5 linked regions of the Mus musculus genome follow. The protein of the gene in region 1 interacts with the protein of each later gene in a biochemical or structural test. Links are inferred from orthologs where the notes say so. Each region holds a gene or a part of one and is shown in the gene's direction. Other genes may lie near its edges.

Region 1 (3,527 bases):
ATACAGCTGTTATGGTGCACGGAACTCACATGTCCAGCATGGCAGTAGGAGCAGCCTGTTCTCTACTTTGTTCTAGACATCTCTGAACTGCACTGCTCAGTAGCAATGAGTGTGTGTAGTCAGTGACCCGGTAGTATAGTACCAGCCGCCACTGAGGTTTGCCTGTGTATGTGTGCGGAGGTCTGAGGTTGACACTCCGTGTCTTCTTTAATCCCCTGGAGCTTGCTGATTCAGTTAGAGTTCATCTGTCTTTGCCTCCATAGTATTGGAACTGCAGGCACATGTCACCACTCCTGGCTTTTAAAACATGGGTTCTGACAACTGAACTCGGTTTTCATGCCCCTCCAGCAAGCACTTTACCAACTGAGCCATGTCCTTATCCCCTATCTGAAGATATAATTTGATTTAGAGCTGATAGAAGCTAGGGTTTGCTAAGTCAATCTAGCCTACAAGGATCACCGGTTCGTCACAGTGGAGCTACATCAGATACAGAGGTTGGTAGTGAGAGGCTGCTACTGGGGGATGAAGGATGCCTCAAGAACATTTCCCTGTCAGTCAGCAGCATTTCATCTGTAGTCAGTCGGCCTGCAGGATCCAGACATGGCTTTGTCAGGGAACTTTAGTTTACAGCATAAAGAAAGCACACACACAAAGGTTAAACTAGCTTATTAATTTGGGGACCTATGGCTTCCATGCTAGACATTGTGGATCTGAGGTGAGTCACGGAATGTTGAGTATCTACTACTTTCAGGGAAGGACCGTGTCCCCGCTGCAGAGCACCGTCTGAGGGAGAGGATCCTGGCTACGTTCCTGTTCTGGCTGATGGACACATACGTGGTACAGCTGCTTAGGTCATTCTTTTACATCACAGAGAGCACATTCCAGAAGAACAGGCTCTTCTTCTACCGTAAGAGTGTGTGGAGCAAGCTGCAGAGCATTGGAGTCAGGTACCACACAGCATCCCTCAGGTATCAGTGTCTCCTGTGTGCATACGCAGAGGCACCGGTGCACAGTGTGTGGCACCTGCTAGCCTGGGCATGGACCTTGAGGGCATAGATTCCCTGTAGCCATGGAATGGAGTCCCTGCTTTATTGCCTGTGAAATCATAAATTGGATCTGTACCATCTATAAGATCCTTAAGGTAGGAGAGCTTTTTTATCAAACGGGAGCGGAACTGATGGATTCCACCTCATGTCTACCCCTGAAGGAAAGGAAGTGTCTCCTCACTGGGAAACCACAAGGGTCCACCCTGAGAAGTGGCAGGGCTCTGAGTGGCTGAGGTTCTGTGCTGATTGAGCTAGAGTTTTGTTGTCTCAGCAGAAGGCCAAGCTGAGAGGGCAGTGGAGCAGCTAGGCAAGGCCTGCAAAGAGCAGACTACCATGTTAACTTTCTATTTTTGTTTGTTTGTTTGTTTTGTTTTGTTTTTATTTTTCAAGACAGGGTTTCTTTGTGTGGTCCTGGCTGTCCTGAAACTAGTTCCCTAGACCAGGCTGGCTTCAAACTCACAGAGAGCCACCTGCCTCTGCCTCCTGGGTGCTGGGATTAAAAGTGTGCGCCACCACCACCCAGCTCCATGTTAGCTTTCTTGAGGTCCAGCCTTAGCTATGGATCATATATCACCCACCCATTGTGCTTATGGGATCCTTAGCAACCAGCACAGGGCTTCCTGAGGGCAGGCAGGGACACTTTTTGCTTTCATACCTGTGTCTAAGCCAAGATATCCATAAGAGTCAGCGGATTGCTTCAAAAATATCCTGGCCAATGGGACCCCCAAGAAGGAAACACCAAGGACAGACTACGGGACCAGATGTCCCAGGTGCCGACCCAGGCTTCGTGTCATGAACCCTGTCCAGACAGGTCTATGGGGTGTGTGGGTTGTGTGGGTTGTTCTGGTCCTAGATGTAGCCCCATAGCATGGTCGGGTGTCAAGTGCTCCAAGTTCCCAACCACCCTGATGGGACATGTCTCATGAACTCCCTGCATGCTCCTGTCATAACTCCACGGTGCGCTCCGTAACAGGCAACACCTTGAGAGAGTGCGGCTACGGGAGCTGTCACAAGAGGAGGTCAGGCATCACCAGGACACCTGGCTAGCCATGCCCATCTGCAGACTGCGCTTCATCCCCAAGCCCAACGGCCTGCGGCCCATTGTGAACATGAGTTATAGCATGGGTACCAGAGCTTTGGGCAGAAGGAAGCAGGTGACCGGACTTGGCCCCTGTACTGATGGTTGAGTCTATACTCTGACTTAAGTAAGGGCTCATGAAGTTCTGAGGGAGGCTAAGTAACCTGTTGTTCCTAAGTCTAAAAACCCAGCATGTGGAAAGGGCTTAGAGATGGGAGATGGTCCCAAGACCCAGAGAGCTTGGGACACAAACCCTGGAGATCCCTCAGGGACCCTGCCAGGTAGGGTCGGCACTATATGGCCTCTATGCTGGGGGGGGGGGGGCAAAGTAACCAGGGGGGGGGGCAAAGTAACCTGACTCTACCACCAGGGCCTGGATGCTTCAGCATCTGGGTTAGCCAGGGGCCCTTGTAGGCCTCGAGGGTCTTCAAGGCTTTCCTTGTCCTAGGGTACTCAATCTGGGGCAATGGGATAGCGAGAGGACTATAGGCCCACCATGCCCCAGGGTCTTTTGTCTGGAACGTGGGATGGGAATGTGCGGTAGTGGAGTGGAGAAGCGTGGAGTATCCTCCTGCATCTAGAGTATCTCCTGACTCTAGCCCAGTGGGCATGTTCTAGAAGGCACTACCCCTGGAAGAGGATGAGAACAGGTTGAGGCAGGTTGGATGAAGGCCCCACATACAGTCAATTGACTTAGTGAGATAGATCCTCTAAGACTCTGGCTCTAGAGGAGCTCTGGCTGAGCTATAGGAGTCTATTCTGAGAAATCGGGGTGGTCAGGGAACAGTCTGCCAGGTCCCTTTCTAATGTGTCCTCTATGGCCCTGGCACAGGCCCAGCATTTCACCCAGCGTCTCAAGACTCTCTTCAGCATGCTCAACTATGAGCGGACAAAACATCCTCACCTTATGGGGTCTTCTGTACTGGGTATGAATGACATCTACAGGACCTGGCGGGCCTTTGTGCTGCGTGTGCGTGCTCTGGACCAGACACCCAGGATGTACTTTGTTAAGGTGGTCATTTGGACTCCTGTCTATCACATTTGCTCTCATGGTCTGGGCTCTAGGGACCTCCTTGAAATAAGCAATGCTGGGTGACCCTGTTGCAGCCTCTTGTTGGTGATTGGGAGTGTTAGCCTGCTACCCTATACAGGCCAAAAATATTATGGCCCCCAGTTCTCTCAAGATCAGAAAGACCCCATGGTGGGGGAGGGGTTGATAACTAGCTCCCAGGACAGTCTTGAGCTCTATATGGGTTCCCTTGACAGTACATTCCAACCTCTCTGGTCTCCGCTCTGTGCGAGACCCTTTGGATTCTGGGTCCTCTTCAGAGAAGTAAAGCCTGACTCTACCACCAGGGCCTGGATGCTTCAGCATCTGGGTTAGCCAGGGGCCCTTGTAGGCC
Region 2 (4,261 bases), on another chromosome or scaffold:
ATTAGGAAGGTGAGAATTACTGCTCTCGAGGAGCAGAACTGATGAATATTTACTAAGAGGGGATTTATTAAATTGGTTTACTCAGTATTGTCTGGGCTGATCAACAGCGGCAGCTGTCCCCAAGGATGCATCTCTGCAGTCCCAAGCCGGTGCTGGGTTCCTAGAGAGCTGTTGGTCTTCAATCTGAGTTGGCAGCTGGAACACTATGATTCTAATGTCATTAAAGGAAATCCTTAGTGGCAGGTACAGGATAGAGACTTATCAGCAAGCCAAGGCAAACAGGCCAAAAGCCATCTTCCGTTTCCGTTTGGTACGGGTTGCCACCTGAGCGCACTGCCGCAGTAGATTTTCGCACTTCAAATAAACTGATCAAGAAAATCCCTCTGCTCAGGGGTTTCTATGAGGTAAGACCCTGAGTGGACCAGGAAAGCAAGCCATAGCCCCTGGGCTTTGCGGTAGAGCCTGCACCTCTCCTGGAGGCTAAAGAAGGAGCAGAGAGAAAGAAGCATGAGAAGCAAGGTTTACAGTCTCCTACCCAGAGGGTATGGAACATCTAGCTGGACTGGCCGGATGAAGGACCAGACTTCTCTAGGAATGAATACCAGTCCAGTACGAAGTTAAAATATTCTCAAATAAATTGTAATTGACTTGGCCCTGTTGTGCCAGGTGACGAAGCAAAAAAAAAAAAAAAAAAGAAAAAAGAAAATCCCTCACAGGAGTGTCAAGCTGTTTCCCTTCTCCTTGACTCCAGATCCAACCAAGTTGACCACCCAGATCACAAAATCCACATTTCCTCCTCCGGAAGCTTGGAATCTTCACTTTTTCACACAGTGTAAATATGTTCATACTTGCATCTGATTATTATTTGAGAGGAGAGAAGGGCAAATCTTGGTTCCTACAGCTGGAAGCTCGCAATTTGTGGGAGGAATCAAAGGAGGCACCCCAGCTGTGACGATAAAACAGCAGGAGGGACCTGTGGACAGAACTGACCTCTAAATACCGGAGTCCGGACACATCACTGAAATTGAACCTGTTTGTAAAATGGAAGCCTACCTTGCTAACTGTTCCACGAATGGGCGATAACTGCACAATCCAGTAAACACCTTCAAGAGCCACTTCAAGAGGAAGCTAAGCTTCTTCTGGAAGAATTGGCACGGTGGCAGAGGCTGCAGCTCTTGTCCCGTGAGACAGTCTAGGACTGACCCTATCCGCAGAGGGGCACCGGATCTCCTCCAGCCCGGGAGCGAGTATGGAGGTTACCCGCCTCCACCCAGAGCTGGGGTCTTCTGCACTTGATTTAGGTGAGGCGGATGCATCTCAAGGCTCAGTGCACAGACGGGTCCCGGAACTCAGCAAACGCGTGAAGACCGCGACGCAGGCGCAGTCTGCATCACGTGCGCATGGCTCGTTCCGCCCCGCCCACTAGAAGGCGGGGCCACGAGGCCTGGGCCCCGCCCCGATGCGTCCGGCTCCTCCCCGGGCCCTCCCTCCAGCTCTCCTGGGCCCGCGGGGAGCCGGGAGCCGGCCCGCTGAGCGGCGCTAAGGGTGGCGGGGCACTGTAGGCAGGGGCGGGCCCGGGGGCGGAGGCCAGGCAGCGGTTGCTACGGGGACTGGGCGGGGACGCGGCCCCGAGGACGGAAGTGAGAAAGTTGCCGGCGTCCCGGGGAGAGTTGGCCTAGCTGTGCGCGCACCGCGGCGATGGGAGGTTCGGGCAGTCGCCTGTCTAAGGAGCTGCTGGCCGAGTACCAGGTGCGCGGGGCGCCAGTTCTCGCGGAGCTCGCGTGCGAGCCCGCGCAGGGGAGTGGGGTTCGGGGAACAGGTGGCGGGGCGGCCGTGGCTTTCGGGCGGCTTGCAGACCCTTGTCTGGATTTGCCTTTCAGGACCTGACGTTCCTGACCAAGCAGGAGATCCTCCTGTGAGTGCTGCCCTGACCCCGGTCCTCCAACTCGGGATTGCCAGGGGAGGGCTTTGCGGGTACTTTTCTCGCGGGATACGGATTGGACGTCTCACCTCCGAGGGTGGGGCTGTGCTTCTGGGATGTCAGGATCACTGGATCTGGAGTCGGAGGCTCAGAGTGCAAGTCCCACCCGCTCCAGAGCCTCACCTTTGCACCACGCAAACACTTCTGTGTATCCAGGAAAAGTTGAACTGTTTGAGCTCCTCTAGCCTCCTCACTGCCGAGCTTCCTGCTCGCTTCTAAAAGGAACTGCTGTGACTCTTTGCGGACTTTGCCCTCTGGCAAAACCAAGAGGTCTTGTACGTGGCTCGCTCCAATCCCAACTTTACCTGTTTAATTCAGTAACCGTTAACGTTTACTGAACCCTTACTCTGCCCAGTAGCTCCTGAGTGATCCACACATTACTTCAGGAGGAGGTTACAGATCAAGGAATCAGGTTCAGAGAGTTCTGAGAACTTGACTATAAAGCACACTATAAGTGATTTGCTGGCCAGAGCGCTTGAGTTAGGTTCCTAGCCCCACAATGAAATTCTACTGGGAAAGAGGTGGTGGCTGAGAGGAGTCTCTGGAGTGGAGGTAACATGTGTTTTTGTTACTGTAATGTTAGAGTCCAGGTACTTGGCCCACACAGGCAGTCCTAACCAGCTAGGCTGTGCTACCTGTCCTCAGTAGGCCAAGGAAAGGGACAATATTGAAAAGCAGAGAAACGAAATGTATCCAATGTGGCCATACTGGGAAAAAAAAAAAGCTAAGAATGGACATGACCGCTCCTCCCCCCATCTTTAAGTCAATCTTCATGTCCAGCTGATGTGAGGTTTATATTTAAATAAAGGGCAAGGGTATGTAAAATTAAGCAGCAGTCCTGGGCAAGATGGAGTCTCTCCTTCATTGTCTCAGCTCTAGTCTCATGAAAGGTGATCTTCTGACAAGTTACCAGAGCCGTCTGTGTAAAATCTCTTCCTGGTAGACATTTTCTCCTAAGTAGACAACAGGCTTCAATTCATCCTTCTCACAACACGAGATTGCCGGGGAATTCCAATTTCTCGGGGGACATTGTTTCTGTAGTTCAATAGCCAAAGGGACAGGCACAGATGTCTCTAGAGTTATCTTTTTCCTGCCAGGACTGTTGCAAAGAATGCCTGACACTGAAAGGGAAAGTCGCAGCTCAGGACCCCCAGACCAAGTTCTTAGCACAAAGGAGATTTATTGCCTTAGAGGGACAGAGGGCAAGAAATAACAAAGACATGAGTTCGAAGACAGGAAGAAGGGGAAGGGAACAATGGAGAGGTGGAAGGAGTATTTGTCCTACAGGAGAAAGGACTGCCTCTGGATAGAGAGGAGACAGACATGGACATAGGAAAATGGCAGATTATAAAGGTATAAGGGGAAACCCTGGGCTACGAGGAGGTGTTTAATTTTAGCCAAAGGGGGCTTTTGATTGCTGGACGTGAATACTTTGATAGCTGGACCTTGGTCGTCGGCCTCAGGAGGAGGAAGTGGCCAAATAGGGGAATAGACTTTGGGGGCTGGCTTTAGCAATGTAGGTTTGTAGCAAGGTAGAAGGAATTGGGCCCTGCAGAGTGAGCAAGGCCTGCCAGAACCATGCTCACCAAGCTAGTCAGAGTCCCTTCAGATAGTGTCTTGCAGACATGGGTAAGTTCTTATAATTGCCCACCCTAAGAAGGGACCCCCCCAAGCCTCTGCTGTTTTGTGAATTACCCTCTTTGGCTAAAGATTGCCCAATGACTGGGAATCCTGGGTGTGTGACTTAGTTTCACAGCTGGTTTATAGGGCATTCAAACCGCAGAATGGGGATGTCATAAATACAGGGAGACTGACTGCTTGAGGCCACCAATAAGTTCCCCTCTCTCTGCCAGAGCCCACAGACGCTTTTGTGAGCTGCTTCCCCCAGAGCAGCGGACCGTGGAGGAGTCACTGCACACCCGAGTATCGTTTGAGCAGATCCTCAGCCTCCCAGAGCTCAAGGTTCAGTCCTCTACCCACTTCATCCACCCTCTCTCTGCTAGTACCTTCCCTAACCCTTCCTATTGATTGTAAGCACATGCCACCACACCCTGGGGTTTTTATTTTGATGACATGGAATTGTGTGGGATGTGTACACATGTAAGTGCTGGTGCCTGTCGAGTTTCCCTGGTGCTGGGGTTATACGTGGTTGTGAGCTGTTCCTCACAGGTGCCAGGAACTGAACTAGGGTCCTCTGCAAGAGCAGTATGGACTTGTAATCCCTGAGCCATCTCTTCAGCCCACTCTTCCCGTTTAAAACCAGCATTCGTTCTGCATTCG
Region 3 (3,966 bases), on another chromosome or scaffold:
CAGGCCCTATTTTTGACCTCTGTGTGGGAATCAGGCACACACACGGTACACATACATAATTGTTGACAGAATACTTACATCACCTCGGGAAAAAATGGAAATTTGAAACAGGGAAGTTGCCCACACTACCAAGTTGTCCCAGCTCCTTCAGCTGAGATTACAAGCCTGTGACACTACACCAGACTAATTTTCATTTCCCTGACAGGTGGTAAAGTTCTTAACATCAGGCAATTGGATCTGGACTATACAGCCAACATCACCAATTAGTCTGCACTGACATCAATATCAAAAGAAAAAAGCCTGTAATACCAGCACATAAGAGACTGAAGCAGGATTACTCTAAAAACCTGATGTCCTAATAGTGGCTCATTGGTCTACCTCTGCCCTAATCCGTCAGTTTTTGATAAGCAGAGATTGTTCTTGGCTACTAACCCCATTTAACCCAGGGCATTGTATACAAAACCAGTCAAAGGATTTTCAAATAGATCCTTAACCACCTCATCTGAACTCACGCAAGGAGACAGCGAATTAATCTAGAAACTTCCCTCCTCGCCTCCCCCAGGGCGCCAATGTCTCCAAGCAGGGGGGAGAGGCGCGCCCCTAAAGGCAAAGAGGCAAAAGCAGCTCCTCCGCTAAAGGAGCCCAGGCGGGATCCGGACAATCAGAAAAACAGCGAGTGGTCCAGGCTTTAAGGACGAAGCCGTTTTTCCACGGATGCAACCGGCGTTGCCGGGCGTGGTGGCTTTGGCACAGGACTGCAATCCCGGACTCGGGCGACTGAACTCGAGGCCAACCTGGGTTTGCGGCAGGCACCCCTGTCTAAGACAAAACAATCCCCACACATCGCCTTGGGGTCTGCTGTATACGCCGCAGCGTCCCACCGCCTTCCAGGGCGGCCCCTACGTCTCTCGGGGAGATCGCCCGCGAGCGTGCTCAGGCGGTTGGCGGCCAACGGCTTGCTAACGCGAGACCGGAGCCCGGGAAGACAGGCGCGAACGGGGCAGCCGGAGGGTCGAGGGGAGGGGCGGGCGCGGGAAGGATCGCGAAGGAGCCGGGAGGCCCCGCCCCTTCCGTAGAGATCTCTAGAAAACCGCGCAGAGCCTGGAAACGGCGATTGCGCACGCGCGGCGGCCGGCCCGGGCATTTTGCTGCGTCACCAGCCGCCGCCCGGCCTCGCCACCCCTCGCGCGCACGCACGCTCCTTCTCCGTCCTCGCGCCCCTTTTCCTACACTTTCCTTCTCTCCCGGGTTGAGGGAGCCGCTCTCCGCGCGGTGCATTCTGGGCATCGAGGCCGAGCCCGCCGCCGCCGTCGCCTAAGAGGAGCGAGGAGAGGCCGCGACCGGGCAGAGACCGCCGGAGTCGCCGCCGGAGAGGAGTCGACTCGCCAGCCGCCGCCAGCGAGGCCCGCCCACCCGTTTGTCTGGCCCTCTGCCCCGTTCACCATGTGAGTGCGACATCCCGCCGACGGAAGGTCGTCCCGGAGCGGAGCGAGGCCGCGCCGGGAGCCCCGGCTGCCGGGAAACGGCCCCTCGCCCTCCCCCCACCCTCGGCCCTTCGCCTTTCTCCCCGCCCGCGCTGGTGGCAGCCCTGCCGTGGGGTGGGAGGGCCTGCATCCTTGTTCCTGTTACCGTTGGAGGACATTTTTCCTCCAGATGTCCGTTTCCCCACCTCCAGATCGACCCCCGGATTCCTCGTGCCAGAAATCCCACTTTTCTTCCCTAGACAGCCTGGCTCTCTCGGAACTCTGGGAACTTAGCCTTAGGCCCTAAACTCGTGTGTGAGCTTTCCGCCATGAGGGCGCCGGGAGCCGTGGAGTCCTGCCGCTCGGTGCTGATGCCCGGACCCGGCAGGACCGGGCTGAGAGCATTTGTGGGTGCCGCCGTAAGCCGGTGCTACCGGTAGGGCACCACGCGGCCCTCGGCGGCAGGCACTGCTAGGCAACTAGAGGGGGCCATGCCGTCACCACAACGAAACTTCCCGTTCCCACATCTCGGGTCTCTTGAAAATGGTGAACGCTAGCAAATGCGGTCACCTCCTTGGCAGCGAGTAATAGTTACTATGGAGCAGGTAGTTCTGCACGTGTCTAGTCACAAGATACTTGTGGACTCTTTTCTTCTCTGTACCTCAATAAACTTTGGGTGGCATTTCGTCATGCTCTTTGTATGCGGAGGTGAAACAGGTATAAAATGACCATCTCACTTGCCTGAAGGTCTTAATTTGTTTATATGGAGGTTACAGATTCTTTTAATCTAAGAATTTTTGCCCTTATTTTTCTAGCCTGGACAACTTTCAAATATGAGAGAATTGAATTACAGTACTTGAGGGTGGTGTGGGTGGCTGCTATGCACAGCACTAAAAGTTACGGATTGTAGTTGAAAAAAAAAGTTTAACGATTGTACAAGTTTAAGTTTTAACTGCTTGCTTGAATGGCTAAAAATCTAAATTGATAGACGATGTCCTAGAGCCAATTAGTGGCTGAGAAACAGGTCCTAGAAGAAGACCATGTAGTACTAGAAAATGTGTAAAGAAATTTGGAGGAGTCCCCCATAAAAACAAAGATATGTAGCAGGTTTTACATTTTAGTGTTTCATTATAGTAATTTTATTCATGTGTGTGCCCTCCCCCCACCCCCTCGTGTTCCTGGAGGTAAGAGGACAGTCTGTGGGGAAACAATTTAAGTTGTCAGGTAGAGAAACGGAGAGCCTTCACTTGCTTAGCCATCTCACCAGCATGGATTTAAATTTTACCTTTGAGATGTTAAGAAAAAGCTCTTGTGTGTGACTGACCTGTATTCTGATGTCATGTTGGCTTCTTAGGACAAGTTTATGTAAAAACTTTTTGATATTTTCCAAACTGTACGGGGAAAATGAATTGCTAGGTAAAACATAATCAATTTAGTAGATAAACATAGCCAAACGAAACATCTTTTCATCCAGAAGTAGCAATTTAGGAGGTAGAGAGACTGCGCAGTGATTAACAGCACTGGCTACCCTTGCTGAGAACCCAAGTTCTATTACCAGAACCAACTGCCTGCTGAGAGCAGAGGTGTTAGTTCTGAATCTGGAGTTAGAGGCAGTTGTGAGCCACCCTGCTTGGGTGCTCTTGTAGAAGCAAGAGCAGTGTGGTGTGGATGTTTTGTCTGTATGTTTGTGTATCATCTGCACTGCTAGAGGCCAGGCCTGAAGAGAATGTTGGATACCCTGGAGCTAGAGGTTTGTGAATCACCATGTGGGTGCTGGGGCTAGAACCCTGGGTCCTCTGGAAGAGCAGCCAGCGCTTTTAACCCTTGAGCCATCTTTCCAACCTTTGTGTGTGTGGGTGCTCTTGTTTGTTTTTGTCTGTTTTGATTTTTAGGTTTTTTTTTTTTTTTTGGTTTTTTGAGACAGGGTTTCTCTGTGTAGACCAGGCTGGCCTTGAACTCAGAAATCCGCCTGCCCCCTGAGTGCTGGGAATAAAGGCGTGCACCACCACGCCCAGCTTTTTTTTTTTTTTTTTTTTTGAGACAAGTTCTCCCTGTGTAGCTCTGGCTATCCTGGAACTTGGGCTGGAGATACACCTGCCTCTGCCTCCCTGAGTTCTAGGATTAAAGGTGTACAACTCCTGATCCTATTACCTTCTTTAAAGGGATTGTTTTTTGAGAAAGCGTCTATGCTGCCCTAGGTGGCCTAACCTCCCAATATGTGGGAGGATCCCCCTTGAACTCCTACTCTTTCCCTCCACTTCCTAATTATTTGGGATTATAGGTGAACCCAATAGGATTATATATTGGGATTATATAAGATCAAGGCCAGATAGGTCTATATAGTGTGCACACATCTCATTTATTTTTGTTTTTTGTGATGAGGTTTCTGTGTGGACCAGGTTTGCACCATTGTGCACATTTTGAAGAGGTCAGATACCTGGTCTTTTTAAAATGGTCATTCTACAGGGTTAAAGAGGTGGCTCATCCTTTAGCAGAGGATCTG
Region 4 (2,490 bases), on another chromosome or scaffold:
GATGCCATCATCTCCTCCCAGGTAACCCACGGCTGCCATGAGTCCTGTCTGAATGAAGAAGTGGAGGGTCAGGGTTTCTGCTCTGGTCCTGGCTGGGATCCTGTGACAGGTTGGGGAACACCCAACTTCCCAGCCCTACTGAAGACCCTGCTCAACCCTTGACCCTTTCGTGCCATGACGAGAAAGCAGAACTGTTCCCTGTACTAAAAGGGAAGGCTCAGTTTCTTGTTATTCCTCGATAGAAGCCCTGCTGAACTCCTGTTGCCTGCTGCAGATAGCTTCTCCCTAACCCTCAGATGCTGTGAACAGGACTCAACTCTCAATCCTACTGTGTGCCATCAAACTCAGGTCTCCAAACTTCTACTTCAAGATCCTCAACAAGATGCTATAACCAGCATATTTTGTCTCACCCCAACCCCATCTCTCCTTCCTCTTTCCAGCTTGAGATGTGAAAGCAGGGCAAGAAGGTTCAGTCTTCCATTACTGACACTAGCAGGTCCACCCAACGCTTACCACCTCTGCACTGACCGTACACTCTATTTCTCTTCGGGTTTGCTTTTCCGTTCACTGAAGTGAGACCTTTGACTAATCGTTTTGTCTTTCTTCTCTCGGCACTGAAGTACAATGGTCTCCCCAATGTTTTATCCAGTTATACCCTTTTCAGTGTTTGTTTTATGGGTTTTCTTATTTAAGAACAGGTTGTCAAAAAACCATTAAAAAAAAAAAAGAAAAAGAACACATTGGCTGCAATCTATTTAACTATATAACTATTCTAAGGAAAGTTAAAAATTGAAAACTTAAAATGTTTGAAATGTTCTCATTGGCAAAATTCCTCAACAAAATAAATAGGTCATTACAAATTTTGCTTTAAATTTTTGCTTGAGTGATTTTTTTTTTTGTAAAGTGTTTTAAAATTTACATTTTATTTTCCCCTTCTCAGCTACACCAAAGCAACATTCAGGTTTTAATTTCAACTGTCAGACATTACAAACATCTAGCTTCTGTGAACCTGGGTGTTTGTTCTTTCCATCAGTTTCCCATTTATCCTTTTTCCTCAGTGACCCCCCTCTGACCACACTAATCAGCCCCCTTTTCTGCTGACTCCAGGGATGCTGTGTTCATTGTTCCATTCTTAGTTTCTTGCTCTTATCATTTTATTATCATCCCTTGACAGATCACTGACATCTATACCCACAGTGAGTGATACCTCAAATGTGAGATACCTCGTTACTTCATCTCCCTCCAGCCCAGACCTAAACTATTTCATCTCTTAATCTATGATATAATGCCTCTTTCAAACAAGCCAGAAACCTATAACTCTTAACTCTCATCTTTTTCACCTCCTTACTAACTTCAAAAAGTTTTCTTGACTGCCTCTCAAGTATATCTTTATCGGCTAGTGTGGTGATGCACACCTTTAATCCCAGCACTCAGGAGACAGAGGCCAGGCAAGTCTCTGAGTTTGAGGCCATCCTGGTCTATATAAAGAGTTCCAGACAAGCCAGGCCTACATAGTCAGACCATGTCTCAAAAATACACATATGTGCACACACACACATGCACAAAATACTGCATTATCTTTGAGCCCATGTTCTTTTTTCTTCTAAACTGCAGGAAGCACTTGGGGAGAGGAAAGGCTTCCGAAGCCCCTCATCTTCCAAACCAAGCAGTCTATGTATTTGTGCAAACCCTTCAAAGATTACTGGGTAAAAGTCAGAGACATTGAAACTTGCCTTCAAAATCGGGAAATAAACATTGCTAATGTCTCACACTTGGAATTAAGCAATGAATGTTAGTTTCCCTTTCTTCTTTGCACTGCACCTACATGTAGCTGGGAAACAATCATACAGTATTGAAATTGTCAGTTTGTTTGCCTTCCTTTTCCAGACAGTCGGTGCTAGTGAACTAGAATCTGATTCTTAACTTTGTATTCCTAGGTCCCAGCCCAAATAGAAATTAAATAAATGACTGTTTAAAAAAAAAGTCTGTTGTATTGTAAATGTGTTTCACACAAGACTTTGGCATGCTATTTCTTCAGGGTAAAACACCCATCTCTACATTTACAGAGGTACTCTCCTAAGCCCGTTGTGGGTGGGAGGGACACACATCAAATCCACTGCAACCCTTAAAAGACCATGAAAGGGAACTACAAAGAATGCATGAAGACCGTCAGGAGACTGGTAATGAAGTGTCTGGCAGATGAGTCCCCAAGCCAGGTCGTTGAACGAACCCAGATAAAGTATTCAGTCCTGGATGCTCTGCGGCCCCACCCGGGCCGGGGTGGAACCGCAGGGTGGCAGCCACATCTCACACAGCTCGCCTCCGCCTTGAAGTCTACACCTCATCCACTAACAGCCAACCTAAGGTCGCCCGCGGCAGCTTAGAGTGGTGGGCGGGAACTGTAACGTCACGCAGCGTGCGCCTGGGCGAGCGGAAGCGGAAGCGGCTCTGTTCGCCGCCTTTCCCACCGGCCCCATGAGCTGCAGCGGC
Region 5 (4,273 bases), on another chromosome or scaffold:
CTCCCGAGTGCTTGGATTAAAAAGGCTTATGCCACCACTGCCTGGCTTCCTCTTTCCCGGCTTCTTTTCTTTCTAAGCTTTTATTTATTATTTTATGTGTATTGGTGTTTTGCCTACATGTATGTTTGTGTGAAGGTGTCAGATATTGGAGTTATGGACAGCTGTGAGCTGCCTTGTGGGTGTTGGGAATTGAACCTGGGTCCTCTGGAAGACCAGTCCATGCTTTTAACCACTGAGCTATCTCTCCAGCCCTTTTCTTTCTAATCTTAGTAATCGTTTTGTCAGCAGGAAAAGATGCGGAAATAGGAAATACAGGGTGGGAGTAACCCAAAGGAAAGGTATGGGGAGTGAAACCGAAGCCTATATTAAAGATAAACAAACAAGGAAACTATCTTTTGGGTCACGTTAATCGCCCAAAGTAACTTCGTATGTACACCATATGAAGGTGCTTCAAAAATCAGGATAGAGTGTTTTATATGACCATTTTTTGACTGCGTGTGCCTGTGCACCATGTGTGTTCCTGGTGCCCGTGGAGGCCAGAGAGGATAGTTTATTTCCAAGAACTGTAGTAACTGGTGGTTGTGAGCTGCCTTAACGTGCGTGTTTGGCACCACTAACTGCTCCCAGCCATCTCTCTAGTCCTTTACACTTATTTTCACACTGTGCGAGTGTGTGTGTGTATGGGCACGTGGGAGACACAGCGCTGAAGGCTAGCTTTTTTTCCCACGCTCTGGGTGGCAGATATCAAACCCAAGCACCTTTACTGGAAGAGCCATCTTTCCAGCCCCAAAATTACAGTAAATTAAGGTAGCACAAATTTGATACAAAATCCCTCACAACGCCCAATTTGAGGGTCATAGCTTTTGGTCAAAGAGAAATCCCCAAGCACTCTGGACGGATTTGTAAGACCCACCGTGTAAGGTCTCTCAGTAAGCCCACTGTAAGGCTTCAGAACACACTCCAGCGGGGTCAGCCCTGAAATTCAGACTACGCAACCAGAACCCCAGTCCGGGAGGCGCCCCACCCATCAAGGTGGAAGCCAGGGGGGGGGCGGGACTCGCCTCCTGCGGGGTCCGCGTTCCCAAAGGGAGCCCGAAGGGGGACCTTTTGCCTGCAAGGACCTAAAGCGCCGCAGAGGACCGCGAGGTTCACACAACACGCGCGCGTTCCCATGGGGACGTCCCTTTTACAGAGCGCCGGGGAAAAGAAGCCTTAGACCACAGGGCTCACATGGAGGCTTCAGGCGCATGCGCTGGCCGGCCCGTCCGCGCGCGCGCGTGCGGCCCGGGAAGGCGCCCGGCCCGCCGAGCGTTCCGGACTGCGCATGTGCAGAGCACCTGGCTGTGGAGGAGGGGCTTGCGTTCGTTCTCCGCGCGGGTTCGGCGCGCTCCAGGTGGAGGGGCGGGGCCCGTCCATTGCGCAGGCGCGGGCGCGCGGCCGAGGCGACGGTTGGGGAGGGTTCTTCCGGAAGGTTCCGGAGGCTTCTGGAAAGAAGCGCCGCGCGCTGGGCGGGCCCGCCTCTATATAAGGCCGGCGCAGGGGGCGGCGCGCCAGTTGCTTCAGTGTCCTGGTGCGGAGCGTCACGTCTCGTGCGTGTTCATTCAGCCACGGTGAGTGATGGCGCAGGCGGACTTAGCGGGGGCTTGGGGAGCAGGGCCGTAGGTTGCTGGCGCCGCGGCGGCAGCGGGGCCACCATCCGAGTTCCCTCAGCCCGCGGAGGTGGGCGGCCATGGCTTCCGACCCTAGGCCCCAGGCGGGCCTCATATCTACGCCCCAGGCCGGGGATGCGGCAATGGCCGCCGAGGAGGAGCGGTGGCGGCGGCGAGGCGGGCGCGGGGCGAGCGAAGCGAGGGTTGGGCTGTCGCCGGTGCCGCCGAGGCGCGGGCGGGCGAGGGAGGCGCCATAGCGGCGGGTTGGGGGAGGGTGGCCGTTAGGAACGGCGTGCGTGGAGCCGCCCGGGTCCGAACGTCCTCCCGGAGGCGCGCACATGCGCTTCGTAATTACCGCATTCTGAAATGAGGTCATCCCTTTGTCATCCACCCCCCGCCCCGTCGCCCTTTTCTATTTCGTCCCTTTCTTAGTCCAAAATAGAGTCGGTAAGAGACCTCTATAGAGGAGGGGCGGTCGTTAGCACGCCTGCAGCCATTCTGTGAGGCTTTAGAGTCGTCCTCTGTGTTCCAGATGCCTGAGGAAACCCAGACCCAAGACCAACCAATGGAGGAGGAGGAGGTCGAGACCTTTGCCTTTCAGGCAGAAATTGCCCAGTTAATGTCCTTGATCATCAATACCTTCTACTCGAACAAAGAGATCTTTCTGAGGGAGCTCATCTCCAATTCATCGGACGTGAGTATACCACTTGGAGGATTGGACGTTGCTTTCCCTGAAAATTTCACCTTGGGGTTTGCGCTTGACGGTTTTTTCATTTTTAATCTTTTCTTAATAGGCTCTGGATAAAATCCGTTACGAGAGCCTGACGGACCCCAGTAAACTGGACTCGGGGAAGGAGCTGCACATCAATCTCATTCCCAGCAAACAGGACCGAACCCTGACCATTGTGGATACCGGGATTGGAATGACCAAGGCCGACTTGATCAATAACCTTGGCACCATTGCCAAGTCGGGCACCAAAGCCTTCATGGAGGCTTTGCAGGCTGGTGCAGATATCTCTATGATTGGCCAGTTTGGTGTTGGTTTTTACTCTGCCTATTTGGTTGCTGAGAAAGTGACTGTCATCACGAAGCATAACGACGATGAGCAGTATGCCTGGGAGTCCTCAGCTGGGGGATCCTTCACAGTGAGGACTGACACAGGTAGGCATAGGCCAAAAGGAATGTATTCAATTGTAGGGGGTGTCTGGTTAACTTCAGTAAGTGCTTGAGAGGGTTAACTTGGAGAGTTGAAGAGTTAAAGAGCAGTCTGGCATACATAGCCTTAGTGCTAAGTCCTGAGCTTTTCAACAAAATTGTTAATCTAAAGGGAGCTTCAGGACCTGGGCTAGGAAATAGGAAAAATGTATGGCTGTTTGCTCAGTTGTACATCTTGGGCAAGGAAGTTAAAGCTTTGGAGACCTTTGCATTTGTGGGGAAGGTTAGCTGCTAGGAAACCTCCAGCAAGCATGGAGGCTTTGAATAGTAACCATTGCCCTTTTCTTTTCCAGGTGAACCAATGGGTCGTGGAACAAAGGTTATCTTGCATCTGAAAGAAGACCAAACAGAGTATTTGGAGGAAAGGAGAATAAAGGAGATCGTGAAGAAGCATTCTCAGTTCATTGGCTATCCCATTACTCTCTTTGTAAGTTACCTACAGGGTAAATTTCATATAATTGAGATAACTGAGGCTGTTTAGAGTTCTGTGAACCTGGTGTTGTACTAGACAGATTAGCCTGTTTGGAAAGGTGGTATCTGAAGAGGATTGTGGAGAAATTAGAGAAACTACTGATGAGAGGCTTCTTGGTTGTACACATTTCTGAGATCTGTCCTAGTTGTATAAATTTATAATGAAGTGATTTGCCTTTCAAGGTGGAGAAGGAACGAGATAAGGAAGTCAGTGATGATGAGGCTGAAGAAAAGGAAGAGAAAGAGGAAGAGAAAGAAAAAGAAGAAAAGGAGTCTGATGATAAACCTGAAATAGAAGATGTTGGCTCTGATGAAGAAGAGGAGGAGAAGAAGGATGGTGACAAGAAGAAAAAGAAGAAGATAAAGGAAAAGTACATTGATCAAGAAGAACTCAACAAAACAAAGCCGATTTGGACGAGAAATCCTGATGACATCACTAATGAGGAATATGGAGAGTTCTACAAGAGCTTAACTAACGATTGGGAAGAACACTTGGCAGTAAAGGTGAGTGACTTAAAAGCAGGTTTTCAGGTTGACTTTTTAAACCTCTATACTCACCTATAGAAAAGCTTCGAAGTGTAACTTAGCCCAGTAGAGAAAGCCAATTCATTTTGTCCATGGCATTAAAAGGTTGTTTCATTTTATTGCAGCATTTTTCTGTTGAAGGACAATTAGAATTCCGGGCCCTTCTTTTTGTCCCAAGACGCGCTCCTTTTGATCTGTTTGAAAACAGAAAGAAAAAGAACAACATCAAGTTGTATGTTCGCAGAGTTTTTATCATGGATAACTGTGAGGAATTAATCCCTGAGTATCTGAGTAAGTAGGGATGGGAAGAATCGGCACTGTTGACAGACAGAAAATCCCATTCGTTGGGTCTGTGTTGGTGGGGGACTGAGGATGTAACCTAGTGGAGACGGGGTTTGCCTAACTTGTTTGAG

What was found.
Region 2: the proteins of Tert (region 1) and Cib1 form a complex in vitro, tested with the Homo sapiens proteins (2 studies listed by BioGRID). The link is inferred for Mus musculus from reciprocal best matches to the Homo sapiens genes TERT and CIB1.
Region 3: the proteins of Tert (region 1) and Ptges3 form a complex in vitro, tested with the Homo sapiens proteins (2 studies listed by BioGRID). The link is inferred for Mus musculus from reciprocal best matches to the Homo sapiens genes TERT and PTGES3.
Region 4: the proteins of Tert (region 1) and Tpp1 form a complex in vitro, tested with the Homo sapiens proteins (2 studies listed by BioGRID and IntAct). The link is inferred for Mus musculus from reciprocal best matches to the Homo sapiens genes TERT and TPP1.
Region 5: the proteins of Tert (region 1) and Hsp90aa1 form a complex in vitro, tested with the Homo sapiens proteins (2 studies listed by BioGRID). The link is inferred for Mus musculus from reciprocal best matches to the Homo sapiens genes TERT and HSP90AA1.

What each region holds. Positions count from the first base shown.
Region 1 is NC_000079.6:73,633,401-73,636,927, forward strand, and holds part of Tert (telomerase reverse transcriptase), read left to right. Parts: intron 1-751; coding exon 752-947; intron 948-2,019; coding exon 2,020-2,200; intron 2,201-2,956; coding exon 2,957-3,136; intron 3,137-3,527. UniProt on the Homo sapiens protein: Telomerase is a ribonucleoprotein enzyme essential for the replication of chromosome termini in most eukaryotes. Active in progenitor and cancer cells. Inactive, or very low activity, in normal somatic cells.
Region 2 is NC_000073.6:80,229,998-80,234,258, reverse strand, and holds the start of Cib1 (calcium and integrin-binding protein 1), read left to right. Parts: upstream 1-1,453; 5' UTR 1,454-1,698; coding exon 1,699-1,749; intron 1,750-1,880; coding exon 1,881-1,915; exon of another isoform or gene 1,916-2,256; intron 2,257-3,834; coding exon 3,835-3,943; intron 3,944-4,261. UniProt on the Homo sapiens protein: Calcium-binding protein that plays a role in the regulation of numerous cellular processes, such as cell differentiation, cell division, cell proliferation, cell migration, thrombosis, angiogenesis, cardiac hypertrophy and apoptosis.
Region 3 is NC_000076.6:128,057,842-128,061,807, forward strand, and holds the start of Ptges3 (prostaglandin E synthase 3), read left to right. Parts: upstream 1-1,140; 5' UTR 1,141-1,443; coding exon 1,444-1,445; intron 1,446-3,966. UniProt on the Homo sapiens protein: Cytosolic prostaglandin synthase that catalyzes the oxidoreduction of prostaglandin endoperoxide H2 (PGH2) to prostaglandin E2 (PGE2).
Region 4 is NC_000073.6:105,744,304-105,746,793, reverse strand, and holds the end of Tpp1 (tripeptidyl-peptidase 1 preproprotein), read left to right. Parts: intron 1-21; coding exon 22-162; 3' UTR 163-1,983; downstream 1,984-2,490. Other genes in the region: Taf10 (transcription initiation factor TFIID subunit 10), read left to right, coding at 2,476-2,490. UniProt on the Homo sapiens protein: Lysosomal serine protease with tripeptidyl-peptidase I activity. May act as a non-specific lysosomal peptidase which generates tripeptides from the breakdown products produced by lysosomal proteinases. Requires substrates with an unsubstituted N-terminus.
Region 5 is NC_000078.6:110,693,589-110,697,861, reverse strand, and holds the start of Hsp90aa1 (heat shock protein HSP 90-alpha), read left to right. Parts: upstream 1-1,466; 5' UTR 1,467-1,610; intron 1,611-2,181; coding exon 2,182-2,343; intron 2,344-2,443; coding exon 2,444-2,810; intron 2,811-3,157; coding exon 3,158-3,291; intron 3,292-3,518; coding exon 3,519-3,839; intron 3,840-3,985; coding exon 3,986-4,151; intron 4,152-4,273. UniProt on the Homo sapiens protein: Molecular chaperone that promotes the maturation, structural maintenance and proper regulation of specific target proteins involved for instance in cell cycle control and signal transduction.